Mytilus edulis: one gene and its partner. The protein of the gene in region 2 interacts with the protein of the main gene of each other region in a pairwise test. Links are inferred from orthologs where the notes say so. Each region holds a gene or a part of one and is shown on either strand. Other genes may lie near its edges.

What was found. The genes of interacting proteins can lie anywhere in the genome.
Region 1: the proteins of apoptotic chromatin condensation inducer in the nucleus-like (region 2) and apoptosis inhibitor 5-like interact in a two-hybrid assay, tested with the Drosophila melanogaster proteins (2 studies listed by BioGRID). The link is inferred for Mytilus edulis from reciprocal best matches to the Drosophila melanogaster genes Acn and cass.

The regions. Positions count from the first base shown.
Region 1 is NC_092350.1:89,949,000-89,956,677, forward strand, and holds the start of apoptosis inhibitor 5-like, read left to right. Parts: upstream 1-4,598; 5' UTR 4,599-4,685; coding exon 4,686-4,754; intron 4,755-7,678. UniProt on the Drosophila melanogaster protein: Antiapoptotic factor. Also known to efficiently suppress E2F1-induced apoptosis.
Region 2 is NC_092348.1:35,036,050-35,043,288, reverse strand, and holds the start of apoptotic chromatin condensation inducer in the nucleus-like, read left to right. Parts: upstream 1-4,149; 5' UTR 4,150-4,159; coding exon 4,160-4,306; intron 4,307-4,727; coding exon 4,728-4,767; intron 4,768-5,278; coding exon 5,279-5,310; intron 5,311-7,239. Other genes in the region: VPS9 domain-containing protein 1-like, read right to left, coding at 2,859-2,931, 3,817-3,900.

The DNA of each region.
Region 1 (7,678 bases), on a different chromosome or scaffold from region 2:
TCTCTTATTTTTCAAATTCATTATCGAATCTTGAAATATAAAAAATAAATAAAGAATGCACGTTAGCAAGGTTTTCCAAAGAAATGCATTAACCGGACGGTTTATTTAGTTATTGCACTACCCTACAAATTCCCGTCGTTGACAGCTTCGTGTAGGAAAAGCACAGACGGAGAGGAGCTTAAACCAGTGCATAAACTTCCATCCCAGATGATGAGATGAGATGAGAGCTACCATTTGATTGTTAAGGGGAGCTAGGTTGAAATTTTGAAAAAAGACAGGAAGAAATACCTGCATGGCACAAAAAATAAAGGCAAGATGACAATTTGGGGGAAAAAAGAAACTCAGGATAAACTAATAAAAAAATGGGCAGGACAGAGATTTCAATTAAAAAAAAAAAAACGCAGGCCATTTTTTTTTATCCAAGCCCCTCCCCCTTCCCTAAATCAAATGGTAGCTCCCTAACATCTTCTGTAAAATTACAATTTACCATAAGTATAATAAAGAAGTTAAAATAAAGTGCTTTTTTTCAAAAAAAAGAGAGAAAAATCCCAAATTTACAAAACTTTTTAACCATTCTGAACTGTTAATAAAATTCAGAAAAGGGTAGACATCTTAAAAGATCCCTAGAGATCAGAGATATTGAAAATTCTGTAATGAGATAGAGGACGAAAAACACTTCTTTCTCAAATGCCCTAAATTTAACTTTTATAGAAAAAAAAAATTTGACTCCATTAAAATGAATTCGGAGTGGAAAGATACTGCTAAAGATGACATGCTTAAACTTATATATAAATTATTACTAAACCCCACGTCTCACAGTCAAATTAAAAATAAAGTTTCCTTTATAAGACAGTCATTAGAACTGAGGACGGGAGACTCAAAACAATAATTTGAACTGCTACATTTTGTATTTTAATATTGTACTGTTTATTTTTGTATATATGTTATGTTTGTCACAGATCATGTTTTTGATTTATATGGCAACACCTACGTTTTGCACATTTAAGCAAATGAAATATGTTTAAACTAAACACCTACCTATATTTTTTTGGAGTTAACTTTATTCAGATTGTCATCTTTAGTGAAAGCATTAAAAAAAGTTTAACTGTGAAACTGTCATATTTTTTTTCATGATAATAGCACAAGAATGTGTAAAAAATTATGAAAAAGGGAAAATCATCAAAATTGGTATTTTCAAATGGTTGAAGCAAAAAAAGAAGTGCACCACCATATGATTTTTCTTCATCAATTTGTTGACAGTCACTCAAACCCAAAAATCAGGTTAAGATTAAAAGTTTAATTCTAGAAAGGCTTTGGCTCCTCACTGCATGATAGGTGTATATCCTTACAATAAAATAAGATTGAAAAGTAACCATGATATTTCGCAAAATTTTAGAAAAAAAACCCACATTTGTATGTTGATTAACGCATATAATCCGTGTGCTATGAGGTCGGTCTTGATGTATTATAGTTAACAATGTCCAATTAGGCTAGCTATATAGGCGGCAGTTCATTCCAGTTTGTAATGGATCTTACGAAGAAACTATGTTTTTGTTTGTCAGTACTTGATCCTCATCTGACAAATCGTGTTTTATTATGCCCCATTTATGGCCATTATGTTTTCTGGTCTGTGCGTCCGTTCGTTCGTCTGTTCGCCCGTTATTCCATTCGTCCGCTCGCCCCGCTTCAGGCTACAGTTTTGGGTCGAGGTAGTTTTTGAAGAAGTTGAAGTCCAATCAACTTGAAACTTAGTACATATGTTCCCTATGAATATGATCTTTTCTTATTTCAATGCTAAATTAGAGATTTTCTCCCCTTTCCACGGTCCACTGAGTGTGTGTCCGAGCGAGAACTGCTCTAGTTCATTACTTTAGGAATATTTATCAAAAAGTAGTATTTCAATATTCAGCCCCATTCTACTATTTAGTCAGCCATCAGTCCTACCCTGATATACCCTATCTTTTTCGGGTAATTATATAACTTAAATTATTGTATGCTGGTTCATATTCTGGACGCCAATCTTTGCTCCTTTATTATAGAATTCACTAACAAAACAATTATGAAGCTTAGAAATGTTTCTTGTGTACAATTTGGAAATAAGTATGGCGTTCATTATCACTGGACTAGTATATATTTGTTTAGGGGCCAGCTGAAGGACGCCTCCGGGTGCGGGCATTTCTCGCTACATCATGTACATTGAAGACCTGTTGGTGACCCTCTGCTGTTGTTTTTTATTTGGTCGGGTTGTTGTCTCTTTGACACATTCCCCATTTCCATTCTCAATTTTATAGAAAATAATAGTGCAGATGGGGCATCCGTGTACCGGGGACATATTCTTGTTTTTTTTTATGGAAATGACGAGCCAGTCTTGCTACAAAAATTATGAAATTGGGATTGAAATTAGTTAGTTGAATGATTACTCACAATATGTTGTGAAAAAGGGGTCATGAGAGGTGATGTTTTTGTTTCTCCAGTAATCGGTCCTCTAAATAAACCAACCGGTAACTAAATGTCTGGCCAGTCTCGAGAATACTAATGCCTGATCAATATGGCTGCTCTCCTTTGGAGCTTATTAAATGTTTGTAGCATCTCCGTATAATACATATTTATTTGTGTGACATAAACAAGAATCAAACAAATTTTTCCACATTATGACGGCTTAAGTGTTTTTATTTGTTTAACAGGTGATATCCGAAGTTGGTATGCCACTTAGCTATTAAGATCTATTAACAGGATAAACTTCATGAGAAAAATACCAGAAATTGAACTATTAAACGGTGGCGAGACTTTGGGGGCGAATTGTCTTATGTTCGTTGGGCTGACCTCCTTCACCAAAAAAATGTCAAAAAAACAAATAAAGACAAATATTATCAAATGAAAAACGGCCTTATTAAAAAATTTTTTTATGTTTTACAGAATGAGACTAGTTATTATAACACTTGTAACAGGCCATTTAAGAGATATATAAATGATCATTAAGGTTGGGTCTCACTAATTAGCGACAACAAGCGTCAAGAAGCGACAACAAGCGACAAGAAGCGACAACAAAAATTATTTTAGCGACAACAAGCGACAAGAAGACTATTTAGCGACAAGAAAACATTTTTTTTTTATTAGATATAAAGAAATTTGTATTTAATGTTTTTTTTTTAAATTTTAAATATACGAGCAGATATGTCTAATTAAAATGTTTTATTATATAGATAGATGAAGAAATGAAACATTTGTGAGAAAGAAAGAGATTGTGAAGTTTATATTAGTATATTGGTAGATGAAGAAATTTAACATTTGTGAAAAAGAAAGAGATTGAGCTTCTTTTTTTTTTTTATTTTTAAATATGAAGAATATGTATAAGATAATGTAGATGTATCTGTTTTCATCAAAGTCAAAGTATGAATAAACGAATGGAGATATATATGGAGCGGGCATAATGGAATATAATATTTTGATTCATTTGCTTAATACTATGCTCTAAGTGTACTCTTGTTATGTCAATTCGATGCTTGCTTTATTTGTAGAACTCTCAGCCACGCTTTGCCATCTTTATTATTTAAGCGTGTTTCCAGACCCCACGACGAGGACGTGGTTCTACCTTGGGGTCCATATATTGAGCACGTACTTTTGTGAGAATAATACTGAAATGCTGACAATTTACTTTATACTAAACATAAAAGTTGAATTGCTTCAGTCAGCTTGGTAGAGTAAAGGAAATGCACACGCTACAAAATTGAAACAAAAACAAAAAAAAAAAGGTCAACTTTCCTTTGAAGGATTTATTGAAACAAAAACATGAAATATTATTTCCTTTCTAACAGTATAATTCATTGTTCTTGATAGGAACAACATTAGATGTGGCTTCATCCTAAGGTAATAACAGTACACACAATGTGGAACATCAAATGAGATTAACGAGTCGCGTGTCCCCTGTTTTATTGCTACAATAACATCCAATTAACACCTTCAACTTTGTACACACGTCAGACTATACAATTACACGCGCCAGAATATACAATCATTATAAATAGTGAACACCTGTTGAAAACTCAAGATTGTCATTAATTTCCTTTCATCTTCAATCAATATGCATAAACATGATAAATATCGTTTAATGAGGCAATAAATAAATAAAAAGATGAACACATTCACATTTCAATTTTCTTTTCCTCCTGTTTGGTTTCAGTTCTTTGTATTTCACAATTTGTGTCAATATTTTCAGGACAATGATGCACAAGTAATTCATTTTGCGAGCTTAATACATATTGCACGAAAAGAGTTTTTACAATAATTAAACGTAATACTGGCTGTTATTCATAATAGATGATAAAATATTATGTAAATAATGTTTCATTTTTTTCTATCAATTTTAACTTTCTTGTCGCTAAAATTATTTTCTTTTGCATGTTCTTTTAATATTTATTGCAATAATTAATTTTAATTAAAATAAAATGTTTTCTTGTCGCTAAATAGTTTCTTGTCGCTTGTTGTCGCTAAAATAATTCTTGTTGTCGCTTCTTGTCGCTTGTTGACGCTTGTTGTCGCTAAAATTCTTGTTGTCGCTAATTAGTGAGACCGTTAAGGTTTTATAAATCAACACTTTATTGTATCAGAATTTACTTCCGCCGGTAACCCACGCGCAAGGAAAACGTTTTCTATTCATTTCTACGAGTTGCTCCAAATATAAAGAAATGGTGACAGTAGAACAAATGTATAAAGACTTTGGTGTCTTGGCAGAGGCTAAAGACAAAGCCGGAGAGGTATAGCGTTATGAATCACTTTTATTCACGTTTCGTTACTAAAACAATACCAAATGTTATGAAGATGCAAACATTTATGATCTTGTTCATCTCCTTTTCAATAAATAAAAATTTAATATCTTCTGATTGGGAGATATGCTCACACATTTTAAACATGCTGTCCATAAAAATCTTGTTCTTAACTGGAGATATACAGTAAAACTCAGTAACTGGTTTAGACCTGTAGTCCAAATAATTATGAGGTTGCTATTCTATTTTTTTTCTACCTCTGGGTAGATTTTCTACGCCCAAATGATTACCAAGTCTTGCAAGGCGGCACATTTATAGAAATACATGTGTTTCCACTAATGCACTGAAAAAAAAAGGAAAGGTAGATAGGCAAAACATTTTTTTATCTGACTGTCTTTGAATTTAAGTTAACAATGTCAGTGATGCAATTGGTACGACTTTGTACCTCAAATGACCGAATAACACTTTTAATAACCAAATAACACTTGAAATTTTGATACTTTTTCATCTACTAGTACGGAAACTAATTATAATTTTTTTTCCTTATATGACTATTGCAAATTTTTCACTATAGTCGCCGTCAGCTGAAATTCGTAGGGGTTATCGGTAAAAATAATCTAACCTATCAATCGCGTTCACTCGAGATATAGTTTTTCACATTCCATTCATAAATCGCAAAAAAAAAACCACTACTGACCTACCTTTTAACAGGTTGGGAACAAACCCTCTATATGGTGATTATACCTGTATAGAGGGATAATCCTTCTATAGAGGGGTAAATTTATCCCTCTATAGAGGGGTATTTTTGTTTAGACTGGATTTAAATCAAAATAGGGCAGAATGGCATTCTCTACTTATTATGGCAGTAACCTGGAACAGTTGATGCACCAATTGATGTACTTAATTTAATATGCACATGCCCAGTTTGATGCTTATCTGACTAAATATAAAATCTATTGTTCACCATGATTGAAAGCTGTGATGATCAGGTAAATTCTACTCACTTATGCCTCACTGAACAGAATTTCTATTGTTCGATTTAACATGAAATTTAAAGGTCAACTATTCCTTTTGTTGTTGATCAGGTGTTCAGATAGGTATACAATACAGTGTTCTCCCCAGGCCCTTAAAGGACCACGGGCCCGCGATGTATAATTTTCTACCGCGGTGGTATCGTTCTTGCCGCGATGTATAATTTTTCTCCGTGGTGCTTAAGTTTTCGGTAAAAAAATCGTATCAAAATCGGTAAAGTTTCAGATGACTTCAACTTTCAGTGAGGATTAAAATTTTACATGAAAATTGACCAGTTCTAACCAGTTTAATCCAGTATTGACAAGTAGATTGTTTACACCACGTGATCGATTTACCTGTTGAGGTTAACCTTGATGATTGGATTTAATCGGTGTACATGATTCTCTTGTGTTTTAATTAATTAAGAGATCATATTTTTAATAACAGACTTGTAATAGGGGACAAGCAGACATTTGTTAATGAACTCTATTACGCCAGTCTTTAGTCAAAATAATTTGCCTGTTAGAAATTAATTGTGGAGTTACTTCCCCTGATTTTGCTTATTACAAATAAATGCTCCTCACACATAATTTCTCATTGAAAATTAGAATAAAGTACAAATTGAATGCAAAATTATATTAGAATGTTACATTAAGGATAAAAACTTTCGTAGAACATACCAACTAAAATGTTTTGCAAATTATTTTAGAGAATCATACCTTTATTGATACACAGACTTTTATATATAAGTGGTAGTAATTTTCAAATTGTAATGGATGTAAAGCTTAATGCCTAAATTTAATAGGAATAAAAATTTTAAAATTACATTCATATTTGAAATAAAATATTTTAACTATATATAAATAATTTAAAGTAAAAACTAATATGCATAAGAAAATAAATTAATTTGTTGTTGTTAAAAAGAATAGAAAGTTTTTAATTTACTGAAGATTCTGTATCAAAAATTAATCTTGTTCAAAGTTCATTGTTATGGTCAAATCTAACATGGGGAATGTGTAGTGTAACTACAAGTATTGGGACAAAATGGCTTGATCAAAATATAAGAAGTGACTTTAGTTTAAAGACTAATTGTGCTTTCTTTTCTTTTTCAAAGATATTAAAGTATACAAACTGTTTTATTGATTTACTTTTTCTACCAATAATGTTCTGACCCAAAGTCCATACAACACAGTACCATAGTAAACAAAACAAAGGCAAAAAGGTAATGACAAAAACTAACAAGAAAAAAATAAGCGACGCAACGCGACACACAATATTGTAAAATTCATTTCGTCACGCGTTACCCTGGTGCTATCCAAATATCCTGGGGAGAACACTGCAATAGATTGTAATTTTGTCACTTTAGCAGAAAACTGGTTATCCCAATTTTTAGTAAAGTGCATATGTTGATCAGTGCTCTAGCTAGAATTCAAAAGGGGCAGGGTGCCAGTGAAGGGCAGGGCACTTTTTTATGATAGGAGAAGGCACTGCTCATTTATTTTTGTCTACGTCCCTGCGTGTATCACGAGTTCACATATTTTTTTACTGTATATATTGTCAATAAAGATGCATAAGTTGTTGTTATGATTATTTATTCTATAAAATTTGCATAAGAAAAGTCATTCATACTACATGTTCATATAACATGGCAATACACATTCATACTATTAACCAAAAGAGGCAAAATAAACTTACTATTCTCCCCCACCCCCTCTCCTTCCAAAAAAATGAACATAAACTAAACATCTCATAGTTTACCATACATGTACATGACTGACAGAGTAATTGTATTTCAAAGAGTTTGGCCCTGTAAACTTTTTTTATTGTTTGTGTTTAGTAATATATTATTTGGTGTAGCTTCATCATGTTGATTTGTGATGAGAGTTTAACTACACACTTCCATT
Region 2 (7,239 bases):
AAGAACATTGCACAACTCCTTATGGTTGTTAAAACTTCCAAAGAATATACCATACTACTAGTATCCCTCATAAATATAATCTTACATCCCCAGTTTGACTTTTAATAAATGAGACTGTATTTACACATTCAACAAAATTCATAGATAGAATATTAAAATAATGATTTTAAGAAATTTTCACAATGACTTTAACAGGTCAGGAACACTACCTTATACAGAAATGAATTAATTAGCATAAAATTGAGAATGGAAATGGGGAATGTGCCAAAGAGACAACAACCCGACCATAGAGCAGACTACAGCAGAAGGTTACCAACAGGTCTTCAATGCAACGAGAAATTCTCACACCCGGAGAATATATATTTATGTCCTTGCAATACGCAGCAAATGTTATTGTTTATTTACGTGTGACGCAATTTATTTTTTCCTGGGTTTTTGACCAATCCACTAAATGAGTAACAATGCATGATGGACTACTACGTGTTTACAATCAACCAAACATGCGTGTTATTTATTAAAATACAACTTATTTTTTGTTCAATGTGGGATTAACAATTTCGCTTAGTTTTTCATTTTTTGTATCCACATTTATAGTTCAGGATATAAAGTATTCGTTCAATGCTCAGATTAACAAAGAGTTGTTTCTATGCCAAGAAACAAGTGTTTGAATTACCCGATGTACAGCCATTAATATGTTTGATGATGACACCGAGATTTCAGGTATTCGTCCACCAGACAGCAGCGAAACAACAGTGAAAAACACAATTACCCATCAGACTAACTTACTAGTATAAAGTAAGCCGTCAAAACTAGCCGGTGCTAATATGCATGAGGGCAGCAAATTTTGTATACTGGAAGATAGTTAAAGAAAAATATATGATCCTTGAATTTTGTGTTCGTAAAAAGGCGAAGACTAGGAGTTTGTCAAAGATCTGATGAGATCACAAAACTTTCTAAGTTTTCACAAAATTTATTTTATGATATTGTACCTTCTTTTATGATTAAAAAGTAATTTAAATCGAGGAAAAGCATGTGTTTATTCCTTTGTCTTTAAGAAACAACAACGAATATTCATCAATAGGCCGAATAGGGACCAATTATACGGTATGGGTGTTTCTCATTGTTGAAGGCATTACAGATGCCCATCACTACTTACATCCATTTCATTTGAGCTTAAATGTATAGTTGTCCCATTGGCAATCATACCACATCTCCTTATTTTTGTATACAAACATTTTTCAGAAAGTTCGGTTTTCCCTTATGAAATATTTACTGACGTCTGTAGAACACTTAAGTAATATTTCCATATTGAGAATTTTAGCGATACAGAACATGCACAAAACCTATATGATCCATCATATTTCATTAAAACTGCACAAGATCTTTTTAAATTCTTGTCTGACAGTTTTAACAAAAACTATAGGTATAATTGATTTTTGACATATTTCAGTATTTGGGACTTTCAAACTTTTCCTTTTGTTCTGTAGGTAGTGAAGCAGCAACTGAGTTTCATTTTGTTTTTCGTCTTTACAAAGTTCAATTTTTTTCTAATAGCAACATTGGATTTTTTTTAACGGACTCTTACATTTGCCAACCTTATTAAAACCATTAATGATGCTATTCATTTTATGTGCGACAAAGTGGAAGCATTGATATGTTTTGTTAAAATTGCATTCTTTTACACAAGTAAATTTTGGTCCCTTTATAGCTTACTTTTCAACATTGAACCAATAGTTGCTTACTTTACTAGATTGTGTCTTGGATGGAAAGATGTCTCATTTGGCACTCATACCTCATCTTCTTAGTTCTATATGCACGGCATGTTTCAGAAAAACTTATAGGTAATATGGAACCCACTATGATCCAGAGGATTTAAATAATTGGAGATTTTGACGTCGTTTGGACAGCAGCCAAACGATAAGAATACCTCTGAGGTATATTTTGGGATTAAATAAGCAACAGACAGACATTATCGATGGATGAAACTATACAAAGTACATGTATGTTAAGTTATTTACCGTCACCGCTTTAATAACACTTATATCTAGCATACTGAATATTATGGTGCTCTTACTTTTAGTTCAGGTCCTGATAAAAAAAAGTTTACACATCCAGTACAGATAGAAGTGTTTCAGTGCCAGTTTTCATGTTTTTCTACACAGAAATGTTTTTGGAATGACATTATACAGGTTTAAAAGAGCTCAAAAATTGTTCATACTAGACAGTGGTCAATTCATCTAAAATTTCACTGTTTCACGCCGTGAAATTATTGCACAAGTACAATGCATAACAATGGAAAAAACCTGTTCAACTACTTTTACAAGGCGAAAAGGAAAGTCGAATCATGAAGCCTGTAAACAATATTTTTTTAATCTGAGCATGCAAATTGAAGATTATGTTATATATTTTACAATAAACATATTCGTAGACCAAAAACATTTATTTTCAGAGTCCCAGACACTATGTTAGTGGACAGTTTTTCCACTAATTCCACATGTTTTCAAATGGTGTAGACTCATAGTAGCCCACAATGCATTGTAGTTCATTGAGTCAATTGGTCAGTTTTTCAAGGCCGTATTGGCCTTGTGTTTTGGAAATTACTATGCAAATATATTTGGACGTCAGGAAATCTAGAGTTCTCGACCTGTTAAAGATAGGGACACTTATAAAAGCACTTTTGTTTATTTTCAAATGTCTTATGTCATGAATTATATTCCTTCTTTTCCATATGATTAGGTGACTAAGGTGGGCATATTAGTAAAGCCTTCATGCTAACCATACTGTAACACTCAACAATCATACATTGTCATATCACAGTTTATAAAATAGAATACAGGGATCATATATATCAACTCTACCTCCAAGTCTAGCATCTTGTAGCAACTTTGTACTAATTCTCAAAACACATTCTAAATACTTCATATATGATTCCTAAAAAAAAATCATTGATACTTTTAAATGAACATGATGAATATATAAATGTTTATGTATAAGTATGTATAACTCTTCTTAACATCAGCCCAATAATGTTAGATCTGTAAATTTAACTTTCACAATTTTTTTTATCTTCCCTTGCCAGGATTTCGAAATTCATGCCACTGAGATATTGTGGCACCAAATTTGCCTTGCACTATGCCATAAGGGCTAGACCACACAACCACCTAGGCTCTACAAATAATAAAGCTTTTGGTGGCATGGTGTTACCTTTCCTTGTCAGTTTTAATCTAGCGTCGTAACACAGTACATGATATAAAAGGCATGAAGATGGAATTGTTACAGATCTGACAGCTGATTTATCTATTGTAAAAGATCATACAAATTAATGTAAGATGTTATCACAGAGATAATTGTATCAAAAGTATGTCTGGACCACTGACCACTCTACAATCCCCACGAAGTTCAGCATTTTTGTGGTTTCACTTTTCCTAAACCTTTATGCTAAATCACCAGAAATTTGTTTCATATGACTTTAGAATTTTCAAGTAACAAGACAAGATGTCTGATGACACAAAGAAGTTTTGGCTGTTGTATGAGGCCAATGGTCATGATGGTCAAGTGTAACAGAATATGTAATATTCCACCATGTCCACTATTATTGTTGAAGCCATAAGGTTTGAATGGCATAGTCTAGACTGTGTCAGCAGTAACAGGGGCAAGTTGAAACTGACAGAGCATGGCAGAAATTTAAAGAAACTTTAAATTTTGTAAATTCAATGTACATGTTTCCTCATAAATCATTCAACTGTTCAACAGTTGGTTTGTGATTACTAATTGAACTTTGGAAATGATCACAAACTTCACAGTTATCATATATACTTGAACTTTTCCGTCTCCATCTAGCTTTAACGCATCTGCTACTGTTCTCATCACTGTTGTGATTGTCGTATTTACAGCTGTCATCCTCAATATTCGTTTGTATTTAAACAGATTATTGTTTTAGGGCACCTGCAGCTTCATTTATTTTGCAGACAGCTTTTTGTCACTTCCGGGATACGGAAACTATCGACAGACAAAAGAAATTTAAATGTAGTATTTTTTTCTAAGTAGGCACAATTGTATAAAGAATTCACTGTGTTTTTACTTTATTTAATTTAATTGAAACTTATAATGAATAAAAAATAACAGTAATTTTCACTATTACGGAAATCAACGACAGCACATGTCAACAATGGCGGACACTGATGCTCCGACTTTAAGGGGAAAAGACATAAATGACTATCGCGTGGTAGATTTGAAGAAAGAATGTGATAAAAGGGGTCTTTCTAAGAGTGGAAAAAAGGAAGATATTGTAGAGAGACTCAGAACGGTAATGCAAAATAAACCGTATGAATATAGCATCTGAAAAATGTATCAGGTGTATCAAAGTGATTCAAACAAAATATTAAAAAAATCAAAATATAATTTGCTGTAGCGGCTAGCCTGTAGTTTTTGGTATTTCAAAAAGCTATGTTCATCATTCTATATCTGTCACACTTTTACCTTGTTAAAGTACAGTTTAAAATGTCAGTAATAATTGTAGTCGAAGCCAAAATTGTTACCCAAGGGAGATAATTCTTAAATTATAGACTAAAAAATGGAAAAAAAAACAATAAATATCTCTTTTAAAGAAAGTCAAAGCACTAACAATGTCGGCTTGATTCTGTTGTTTTTTTCTTGGTTTTAGAACTTGTGACAATCACTTTATAATATGGTTTACTACCATGCTCATTTGTCTTCGTTTATTTCAGTTCCTACGAGAAGAACAGGAGACAGATGAAAATCCTGAAAGTAAGTAACTGGTAGAATGATTGTTTGTAATGACTTTTCTTTATTTGCATACAAAAGAACATTTAGAATAACTTTCTGGCAGCTTGAATTAGGAGATTTATACAGTATATTATGTAAATTTTACTCCATTGATTAAACTTTTTTTTACCAGAACCAATTAGCAACAATTAGATTATTACTTTTACACAAATCAATACTCATATAACATGTACAATATGTAGTGAGATGGATCATCAAATGTATTATCCAAAATAAAGATAACTAGATGATTCCAATCAGAAAACAGTCCATCACAGGAAAGGGTGTAAAAAAACTAAATATCACCATACAGTGTTCATAAATTTTGCCATGTACAAATAAAAAGCTAAAAAGGTCCTGGAATGAAACCTCTAGAAAAAGACAGTACAATGATAAGAATCTCAGAAATAAATCCAGATTCTTATTGTATATTTATATTTTGTTGAATGCCACATGTATTATATTGTTTAAGTATTGTTTTCTTTCTTTCTAGATCAAGATGATAATGAGCCAATAAATGCAGTGGTAAGAAAAATCAGTACTCCAATAAAACTACAAGTTTACTGTTACCATAAGGACTTATTCTTCATATCTTATTATTGCCTTGAAATTAATGGTTGTGGATGTGAATGGATTAATTCTAATAATCATTAAAACAATTATCAACAAATTCAGTACAAGTCTGAAGGATAGAGCTAAAATATAGAGAAAATCCAAACATACTTTTTCATTTATTTCACGCAAAGTCATCTTGTGGAAACAGATCTATCTTTCAATCATAGACACAACAATAACTGCAAAAAACAAATGATTATCAACAAACGAACTGACTAAACACGTTCATCTTTTCTCATTATCAAATATAGATGAAAACTACAAAACTGTAATATCAGAAATATAACAAATTATGTATGTTGATTTGCACAAACTGATTCCAATCATCTTTTTATGGAATACTCTTAACATGATTTAGTTAAAAATAATTTTCTTGACTTGAAGTTGGTGTTGAGTCAAACATGGATGGGGAGATTGCACATTTTAATTAATAACCATTATATATATGACATTTAAAAAAAATTCATAAAATAGAAAATTGAAATGGGGAATGTGTGAAAAAGACAACAACAGGGTTCGACAGCCCGAGACTAGTTACTTTTGTGTGGGGCTAGTAAATGTCCGTGGCGCGGTAGCCCGAGGGGCTAGTAAATTTATTTGTCATTGAACATCAATCTGTTGTACTTTCGGCAAATACAGTCCAAACGCCGGTCATATCTGACAACTTCGTCGAATTTTGTCTACACTGGTTCCATGACCTCTTTATTTACATACAGATACAGATACTGGAGGGTAAATTTTCTACCGTAAACCAGTCGCTATATATAGTCAACTCGGCCTAAGATTACTCGGCCCATAAAGTAAGAATGCACCACGTTTCAAGATAATCCGTTTTGAAATAAACATTAATTATACAGCATATACATTTTGGTTTTATTATATTTTATTAATAATCACATCAGAGATCCTGATAAATCGTGTGCATAGTTTAGCCTTATCTATTACATAGTCGTCGTGTAAATAGTTTAAATTGGAAATGCCCTTTCGTTCTTAAAATAGAGCATTGAAAGGTTCCCTGTTGAAATTTTCCTTTACTCCAAAGGTACACGTGGTGATGAAAACTTTTCGATCTTCTCTGTCTTTATAGAATTAGCGTTTGTCATGTCGTCATAATTCTTTTCGTATTGCTCGGGATTTATCATTACAGTTGCAATGGACTGAAACGAAAGTAAATTTCCGGTAATAATATTAAATGTGATTAGCTTCTTTTTGAGAGCTGAGGGGTGATGATGATAACAAGACTAAGGCATTGGTATCAGAAAGCGTCCATTGCACGTACCGGGATGTATGCATGTCATAATGCATTAACAAGAACAGGGTTAATACTCGTCATGAGACAAATCAGTTGGAACATGACTCAGCATCAGAAACCAAAAGTAAAATAGGGGACAAGTCAACTTATTTATGTAAATAAAATTAAACAAAAACATCGTTTTAATTTGATTATTTTAGTTGATGAGTTTTTTGTAAGCCAAAAAAGTGTCCCATGAAATTGTGTCTTCTGTGAAATTTCGTTCACGGGACAGAATAACACATTTTTAAATTGAAATTTAAATCAGGACAACAGAGATGTAAACAAAAATGGAAATTGGTGAATATAAACAGCTATATGACTTTTTGTGTGATGGTCAATACCCTCTAGAGTTTGATATTATAATAATGAAAGAAGATCATTTAGAAGGCAGGCCAAGCAATTTGTAATTAAAAACAATGAAATGTTTTATACATGTTGACAAAAAAAAAAACACTGGAGAAAACATTCAAACTTGTTATTCATAAAGACAAACTGAAAGAGGTATTGTACCTATTCCATAACGAGAGTGGATGCAATCTTGGGGT